2 separate regions of the Mus musculus genome follow, and region 2 is reported to be linked to region 1. The links are microRNA targets in miRTarBase. Many come from high-throughput screens and were not tested one by one. Region 1 holds a microRNA gene; the other region holds the end of a gene's coding sequence.
The links. Region 1 holds the annotated microRNA mmu-miR-5120 (UUUGGGGCUGUGGUGCCACCAGC, at 2,270-2,292, shown strand). A microRNA usually pairs through its seed, bases 2 to 8, with sites in the 3' UTR of a target mRNA and lowers its output. Matches are read on the target gene's strand: a 7mer-m8 pairs with bases 2 to 8, a 7mer-A1 pairs with bases 2 to 7 and ends in A, and an 8mer does both.

Region 2: the mRNA of Abca5 is a reported target of mmu-miR-5120. Seed matches in the 3' UTR shown: 7mer-A1 at 3,282-3,288.

What each region holds. Positions count from the first base shown.
Region 1 is chr4:44,605,432-44,609,827 of GRCm38, reverse strand. It overlaps Mir5120 (microRNA 5120), which reads left to right and starts at 2,260; the gene lies at 2,260-2,337. It overlaps Pax5 (paired box 5), which reads left to right. Exons shown (of 10, transcript NM_008782.3): 7 at 1-113.
Region 2 is chr11:110,268,919-110,273,314 of GRCm38, reverse strand. Abca5 (ATP-binding cassette, sub-family A (ABC1), member 5) reads left to right here. Exons shown (of 39, transcript NM_147219.2): 39 at 749-3,946. The coding sequence ends at 856. Among named protein-coding and RNA genes, the nearest start is that of Abca6, 19 kb to the right of the region's middle.

The DNA of each region.
Region 1 (4,396 bases):
CATGGCTTCACTGGCTGGAGGCCTGGATGACATGAAAGCCAACTTGACGAGCCCCACCCCCGCTGACATCGGGAGCAGCGTTCCAGGCCCACAGTCCTACCCTATTGTCACAGGTGAGCATACCTAGATGGAGATTTGGGGGTTGTTGGGGGAACAAGAGCGAGTGAGAGAGCAAGAGAGAGAGAGAGAGCAAGAGAGAGAGAGAGAGAGAGAATGGGAATAGGTCTGTGAGGTGGGAAGCTGTCCTTGGTGCTTTTGGACATGACTGGCCTCTGCTTTAATGGGGTGAGGTGACAGACTGCTGGGGACACAGGTTGTGGATGAGGTGACATGGCTGCACACTGTTTCAAGTCACCAAGAGAAGACGGATCATACTGTCAGAGGGGTCCCTGTGGTGGGGCCAGGCACTCCGAGGTCTGGAGTTTCTCCCTCTCATGAGTCAGGAAAATCTTTTGGTTGACATTAACTTCCAGGAGTAGAGAGACTTTTTAAGACACCATTGGCGTGTCAGATTTCCAAGCTGAGGCTGAGGACAGAAGGACTAGGTGGTGCTAGGTATATGCCAAGCAGCTGTCTTTCCTGGCAGCCGCCATGATCACCATCAGTGGTGAAGAGTACAGGCCTCAGGCTGGTGAGGCAGCTCAGCAGCAGTGTGCCGCCCAGCATGTGCTGGGCCCGAGTTCTAGCCCCAGGACAGGCCCCACTTGCTGCAGGGTTCCGACCTGTTGTGTGTCAGTCAAGCAATCTCCAGTGAGTTGTGTCAGGATTCCAGCTGTGGTTTTCTCATCTGTATGCTGGGAACAGTGGTGATGGCTATTGTACAGGACTCTTATGATAATGGCTGGGTCCCCACCTATGAAGAGCTTGGGCTCTTGCCTAGTATAAAGCGAGCACCCAGTAAGTGGATGTGTCAGTTGTGACTCCCCAGGATCCCCTCACGCTGGTCACTGGAGGACTTGCTGCTGCAGGGGGAACCCCTTCTCCAACCCAGCACCATGGAGCCCCGGAGCAGTCCCTGAAGCCAGTTCTGGGAGGGTGTCTCACTCAGGAGGCAGGAGGGTCTCCAGAATATGGAATGTACAGACAGTGGGGACTCCTGGGCTACCCTTGGGCTGGAGCTTGGGATCCAGATAGAGATGGCAAGACGTCCCTGTTGGCTGATGGACATACCCTGAAGGTAGAGGCAGAGCCAGGAAATTCGCTTGTGTTAGAGTTTGCAGAGGAGGGATGGATGAGGCAAGACCTGAGGCCCAGGGTCCCTTAGTGACCAGACTGGAGGCCTGTCTCTGAGACCTAACGTCTAAGTCAGTACTGGGCTCAAGCTAAAAGCAGCTGAACCCTGTCTGTTAGTCTGGGTACCACATGAGGGTCAGATAGAGCAAAAGTGACTTGGTCCTTGGTGCATCTAAGTTGGGGCACAGTCGTCTGAGACGTGGGGAGAAGGTGTGTGGAAGGGGTGCCAGCCAGTGAGCTGCAGCCAGTGAGGTATTTCCTGAGGTCCCCTGCGGGGTTCACCAGGGACCTCAGTGACAATGTTCCCATTATACAGGTGCAGAAGCCAAGCTCAGATGTGCCCACTCTAGAGTCACCTTTAGTTTTCTAGAACCCTTGTACTGTTTTCAAGGAACAACAGACAACTGAGGAGGTACAGGGAAGGCAGGGGAGCCAGCTTGGATCAGCTCAGCTTCATGGCCTCTGTCCCTTCGCTGAGTCTCAGGCCTTGTGCTGGGTAGCTCAGGGGAGCACTGAGAAGTGACTACTGTTACCTTCATCTCCATTGCATAAGTGAAGAGAACTCGCTTCCTGAGGTCACAGCCAACGAGTGGCTGTACGCACTCCAACAGGGCCTGTGTGCTGTCACTGAACCATGGAGACTGCCAGAGGGTCCGTCCAGGCCTGAGACCTCCTTGCTATTTGCTTTTGGATGCTTTTCCATCCATAAAATAGTTCTGATCTCCCAGGGTCTTTGTGGTACTCACATGAGATCCGGGAGGAGACCACACTGGAGAGGGGAAGTTTGGGGCAGGATTTAGGAAATGGGTTTGGGCAGGTTCTCATTTAGGTGGCTGATAGTCCAGTGAACACCAAGGCTAACTCTTGTCATGGAAATGAGAAGCAGGCTCCCTAACCAAGGCTAATCTAGCCTTTGGCAAATCTCACTGAATTTCATGGGGGGCTTTTAGAAAATTGGAGCCAAGAGTTAAAAACAAAAACAAAACAACAAAAACCCTAGCTTTCTGACTTCTCAAAAACGTAGAAGAGCTGGTCCTTTGGGGCTGTGGTGCCACCAGCTGTGACAGAGTGGAGCTCAGTGGCAGCAGCCCCTTCAGACAGGCTTCCATGGTCTGCAGCAAAGGCCTCCTCATTCACGTTAGAAGGTATGTATGGCAAGGCTTGTGCGTTGTACCCAGATCCAGAGCTGCAGCTAGAAAGGCCATCTGGGTGCTCCAAGGGCTCGATCTGCAGAAGCTGCCTGGCGCCACATGGATTGGTTTTCAGATAAACCCTGGAGGAGGAGAGATTAGCTTGAACTGATTTGGATTTCTTCATCTGAAAGTCACATGATACACAGAAATGGAGGATAAGCATCCCTGACCAGTCAGCGCTGTGCTTAGTATGAACACCAGGCACATTCTAAAGTAGGGTGTGGCCACACATACATGTGCTCAGTCAGGAGGCTGAGCTGGAGGGTTGGGAGTTGGAGGCCAGCCTGGTCTACATAGGAAAACTCAGTTTCAAACCACAAGAACAAGCATTCGCAAAAGGAAGAAAAGGAAGGCATGTTCTAACTGTCAGACTAGTCATTAGCTTCCTTACAAATCAACAGTAATGAGCACAATAGAAGACTGAGACCTTCAACAGCAATATATACAAACCAGAGAATAAATTTAGAACTCCGTAAGTGACACAAAGGAATGAGGAGGTGTTCATTCCTAGACTGACTGTCAGAGCTCCATCCACTCCCCACGTAACCTCTTACCTTAAAGCAGTCCCACACAGACACCAAGAGACTTTAAGAAAAGTTGTCAAAATGGTGCTAAGTGCTGGATAAATAGACATTTAGGCATAACTAGAGAGGTCCTAAAGTAAAGAATTAAACAGATCTTCTAGGACATTCCAAAATATATGACCAGGAACAAGATGACTCAGCGGATGAAGAGCTTGTACCAAAGCGGGATGGTCTCTCTCTCACATGCACATTAAATGGAAAAACATTTTAAATAAAAATAAAAGCACACCAGGGCCCCCAATGGAGGAGCTAGAGAAAGTATCCAAGGAGCTAAAGGGATCTGCAACCCTATAGGTGGAACAACAATATGAACTAACCAGTACCCCGGAGCTCTTGTCTCTAGCTGCATATGAATCAGAAGATGGCCTAGCCGGCCATCAGTGGAAAGAGAGGCCCATTGGTCGTGGAAACTTTATGTGCCTCAGTACAGGGGAACGCCAGGGCCAAGAAGTGGGAGTGGGTGGATAGGGGAGGGGGGGTATGGGGGGCTTTTGGGATAGCATTGGAAATGTAAATGAGGAAAATACCTAATAAAATTTTTTTTAAAAAGAGCACACAATAATGCTATAGTAACTGCAACTATTGTAGAAGCCGAGGTTTCAGACACATGGCCAAGGTGGACAGTGGAGAAATTGTCCAGATATATGTGGTCAGATCCCTGCTTCATTGTCTCTATGGAAACAAATAGGTTGTGAGGTAACAGATATGCTAATTAGCCAGATTTAGCCATGACACACTGTAATTTATATCAGAATATCACAATGTACCCCATAAACATGTATACTTATGTAACCTTTAAAACAAATCCCCACTTAGCCAAGACTTTAAAAATTAAAGCTATAATAAACCAGGACCAAAAAAGGGAAAAAATTACAATCCTAGGGTAGAAAAAGTCCTTTAAAATGTTTCAAACATTTTAAAAATGTTAAAAACATTTTAACACATTTTGAAAAGTGTTAAAAATGTAAATCTTTTTGTATGTAAAAACACCCAAAAGCAAAACTAGGGTGGGGGTGTAATATATATGGTAAACATTAATTTGTTTAATATCTAAGGAGCTTTTGTGTACACACAAAAGATTGCTAGGTACTATTTTTATATGCGTATGTGTGTGCCTGCTTATCTGTATTGTACTGTATGTGGCAAGGTGCCCAAAGAGGCCCGAAGAGGGTGTCAGACCTCCTGGAACTGGGGTTACAGGTTATTGTGAGCTGCCTGACCTGGGTTCTGGGAACCAAATCTGGGTTTTCTACAGAAGCAACAAGTGCCCTTAACTGTTGAGTCATCTCTGCAGCCTCTATATAAAGGGCTTTTAAAACAAATAAAAAACTAAGAGCATCCTCTTGCAGAGGAACTGAGTTTGGCTCCTAGCACCTATAGCAGGTG
Region 2 (4,396 bases), not on the chromosome of region 1:
TTATATTAGAAAAGGTTACAGTTGACTGTACCTCGTAGCAATTGCTTAGGCTTAGAGTGTAGACGCCAACCCATATTATAGACATTTAAAACTATAGACTTAAGGTACATTTACTTACTTGTTTCATGTGTGGATGTGCAAGTGCCACAACATTTTAGTGGTGTCAGTTTTCAACCATGTGGCTTGGTGACTGAACTCAGGTCTTTGGCTTGATAAAAGGTACTGCTGAGCCATCTCACCATCCTCAAATTATAACTTAATTGGAATTGCAACTTTAGCTTCCTCTTAGTTTTTTGTTCAGTTCCATTTTAAAACATCTTTAATTGAATAGTCATATTATTTATATTTATTGACTACAGTGCGATGGTTTGATATATATGTATACTATTGAACAGTTAATTCAAGTACATTTAATTTTGTTAAGCTTGAACATCTTTTGTTTATCTTATTAAATATTTAAAAGACTCATGGCATTATTTTATATTAGAATACTTGAAATTGTTTAAACAATTTTAATTTATTTTATGACACTACTACTTGATATATTAATCAGAAAATGTATTAACCCTCTAAATATGTGTTTGTCTTTGTAGCTACTGGGCATACCTTGCTTTGTTTGAATAGCATCAATATTAGAAAATCCCTTGATACTTGTTACATGTTAGTTACGGCATTGTATCGTTTCTGACTTAGTTAAGAGTCCTCTGAATGATACAGTAGTTGACTTTTCCTTCTTCCTTTTACCTAGGTTTTTGTAGAACTTACTAAAGAGCAAGAGGAAGAAGATAACAGCTGTGGGACTTTGGCCAGCACTCTCTGGTGGGAAAGGACGCAGGAGGATAGAGTAGTATTTTGAATGTTTATGCTCACCCAGCCTACCGACCCTGAGTTGGTTTATTCTTTTTTATTCTATTTTTTTCTTCTTTTATCTTATCTTTGATTTTAAAAGCTTATTACTTGAATAGTTATTAAAAAAAATGAAAGCACTTGGAAATTTCTTAAAGTCCTTAATTAACACACCATGGTTATGGTTTGGATTTTCTTTCAATAAATTTGCGTGTAATTGTCCATGTGCATGTTTATATCTGAAGGTAGTCTATATGCCTACCTTCACGTTTCACAAAAACAATATTTCTCAACTTAGGATTTAAAGAAATAATAAAAGAATAATTCTGAATAATATTTAAATTTTATACTATGTTACATAATTATGTAATTTCCCAGTGCTAATTAAAAAGACCAGTGCCTGACTAATAACATAGAAGAGAGACACAAAGCAATGCAGAAACTGGCTTTCCCTTTGATATGTCTAAAAGAAGCTCTTAGTGGAAGTTGGCCTGTGTAAATGTGGAACCGTTGAGAAGTAACGTCCACTAGGTGGCAGTCGTTGGTCACAGGAAATAAAGGGAAGCCGCAGTCTAGTGACTGCAGATATGGGCAATTAAATGTTTCAGGTTGTATGTCTTTTGTCTACATTAAAATTCAAATGTGTTTGGTGATCGTTATTCACAGAAAGACTCTGACTAGAGTCTTAGTATGTAAGAGTCCAGGTCTCTGAAAGTGCAGTGACAGCTGTTTGTCGAGGTGGCCAGTTCATCTCTACTTCCCTCCAGACACCCGACTGCGAGCTGGGAGAGAGCGCGTTGTTGCCTTTCCTCATACAGGGCTCATTTAAGTTTATTCTTAGATGAGACATTTAATGGATAACCATCTTTATTACTAAATTTGATTCCTTGACTCTCTTGAGTTTTAAGTAGGTCAGCATATACCTTCCTTTAAAAGGTCACCTCAGAACATGGTAGAATATAGGAGCTCTTTCAAGGGTTAAATTAAGAAATAAAAATTAGAGTTTCACTCTTGTGACAGAGTTGAAATATGATAATTAATCTTAGAAATATTTGATTTTATGACTCATATGGACAGGTATACAAGTATATGATGTAGTTGATACTGTATTTCAGGCTGTTGTATATGTGTTAGCTTTGTAAAAACATATATTGTGGTGTGACTTTTGCATCAGAGACGTAAAGAACAATAGCAAGAACAGAGGGCTTGCTACCAACTTTCAATGGTCAAGCTTTCAGTGAAGTTATTAATTATTTAATGTTGGGAAGATTTAATGAACTTTTAGTCCTGTTGGGTAGTAAAATGTGTGACTTTAGGCACTAGTGGCTAATTCAAGTTTTCCTTTCTCAGTACAAGGTGGCACATGGCTGGCAACTTTCTCTATTGCTTTGACAGTTTCTTTCCACCTTCCTAAAGGCATCTGTGTAGTCTCGTATCTCAGAGGTACTCTAATGTAATAGAACCATCCTACAAGTCTGCTTGGATTTTATGACACGCCCCTCCCCCAAGTTCTTGTAAGGTTTCATTGGCAGTAGCTTGCCTCCTGATACCAAATTATAATTTTGGATCCTTTAAGGATCTTACATTTAATTAATCATTTAATTAATGATTACTGCATGACCAATATAGTCAAGATGTATTTAAGATGAAATCTTTATTTTTGCTGATAAATTATAAATTGCACATTGTATTTTCTCAGCAAGTCATTGCTAAATGGTGCCGTAAACTTGAAGAGCTATCTTTTAGAATTTAAGTACCTTGGGCCTTTTTTTGGGGGGGATGTGATTTTTGTAACTCTGTAACCTAGAACACATACCCTTAAAAACAAACAAACAAGCTGCATTTATAGTTTACTAGGACAGTTACCGAAAAGGGTAGGTTTCATTTGTGTCTTAAAAGCGTTTGGCCCTCCTAAGACAGAACTGTCTCATAGAGATGGTGAACACAGGCCATATCGCCTTCTTTCTCATATAGACTTGGTCACTGTCTATTAGCATTGCTCAGTGTGTGCTCAGTGTAAAATATAATTTTCCTAGGGAATGAAAGTCGAGACTGCACTGTCTAGTCTTCTATATTGTGTGTTCATTCATATTACAGTGGATAGTTTGGTTTTATACATGGATTTATTTTAAATTATCTTAAATTATTGCTTTCAGAACTTTGTTTCTTTTCAATACAGGTAAAGAAACAAGTGTATTTGTTAGCAACAAATGAAAACAAACTGCAGCGTCACCTTCCTGCCTTATATTTTCCATCTGTGGCCAAACAGTAAGAGTAGAACAAAGGCAGACTCTGCCGAGTTGAAGGCATTGCTGTCTGCAGCAGAGGGGCCGGTCAGGAGGAAGCAGTGGAAAGCGTTCTGGGAGGTTTGCCTTCTGTGGGCTCTTCCCTGCTTTCCATGCTGTTCTTAGGAAAAAGCAGGGTTCTTTTTTTTCCCCCAAAACTTTAATTTGTCAGAGATTATTTGTAGCCAGTTTTGGTTTTCTCTGTTAAAACATGTTTCGATACTTTAAGCACACCTTCCAGTGACTGCGTTTCAGAGTGGGCTCTTTGGGTAGAAGGATGAACTGTTCGGCTCTGTAAGATCTTACATTTTATTAAGACAAGGATAGATACTTATAACCAGTTATGATATGACAATGCTTTGCTACTAGTCTTAAGAATATCTTCTAGGAAAATGAATAGCACAGTTAATTTTACTAGGGTGAGTGTTGGTTTCCCGGTTCTTTGTTGGTCACTCAGCGTCTCATTCCGATCGTGCGTTTCACATTTGTTACAATGCCATCTTACATTTTCAGGTAGCATTCAAAACGCAGGACTTTTTTTTTTTTAAATAGCAAATGCTTTTAAATGCTTTTTCTTAATGTATTTTTAATATTGTTAACATTGAGTTCTCATCTTTCCCCTTGAAATAGCATATTACATAAAGTGAGAGAATTTATTCTCAGGTGAATTATTTTTGTATCAGCTATTCTTATAAGGTAAAAATTTACTTGTTTTCTATTCATAATGTGTTATATGTACAATTCTCAATGCTGCCCTTTAAGAAAAATGAATGTGCTTATATTATTAATAATAAACTTTAAGAGCTAAAAATCTATGACAGACTTCAGTTTGTATACCAAAATTCATTTAGTGTTCATAATTAGATGTGTGACTTAAATTCAAACTTGAAGCAGTCCTCTGTGCCTAAGATGGTAATATCCCTTAAGGACCCACATAAATGAAGGGATAAGAAAACATTGGGAGGAACTGCAGTTTAATCATACTCAAATTCAACAATAGATAACCAAGAAAAAAAGTAAGAGACTCTTGTTGCTTAGCGAGCCACTGGACATATTCTTCTCATTCTGTCTAGTTGAAAGTCAAAAGAACTTACAACAGCCATTTACCATTTACATGCAGAGCCCTGTGCTGGGGAGGGTGACTATTACCAGAAATGGGGTAATTCCAAAATTATTTATTTAAAAGTGTTTTATTTTTAGTATTACAATTAAAGTTTGCATTTAAAAAATATCTTATTTCTGTCATATGGAAAAAGCCCCAGTTT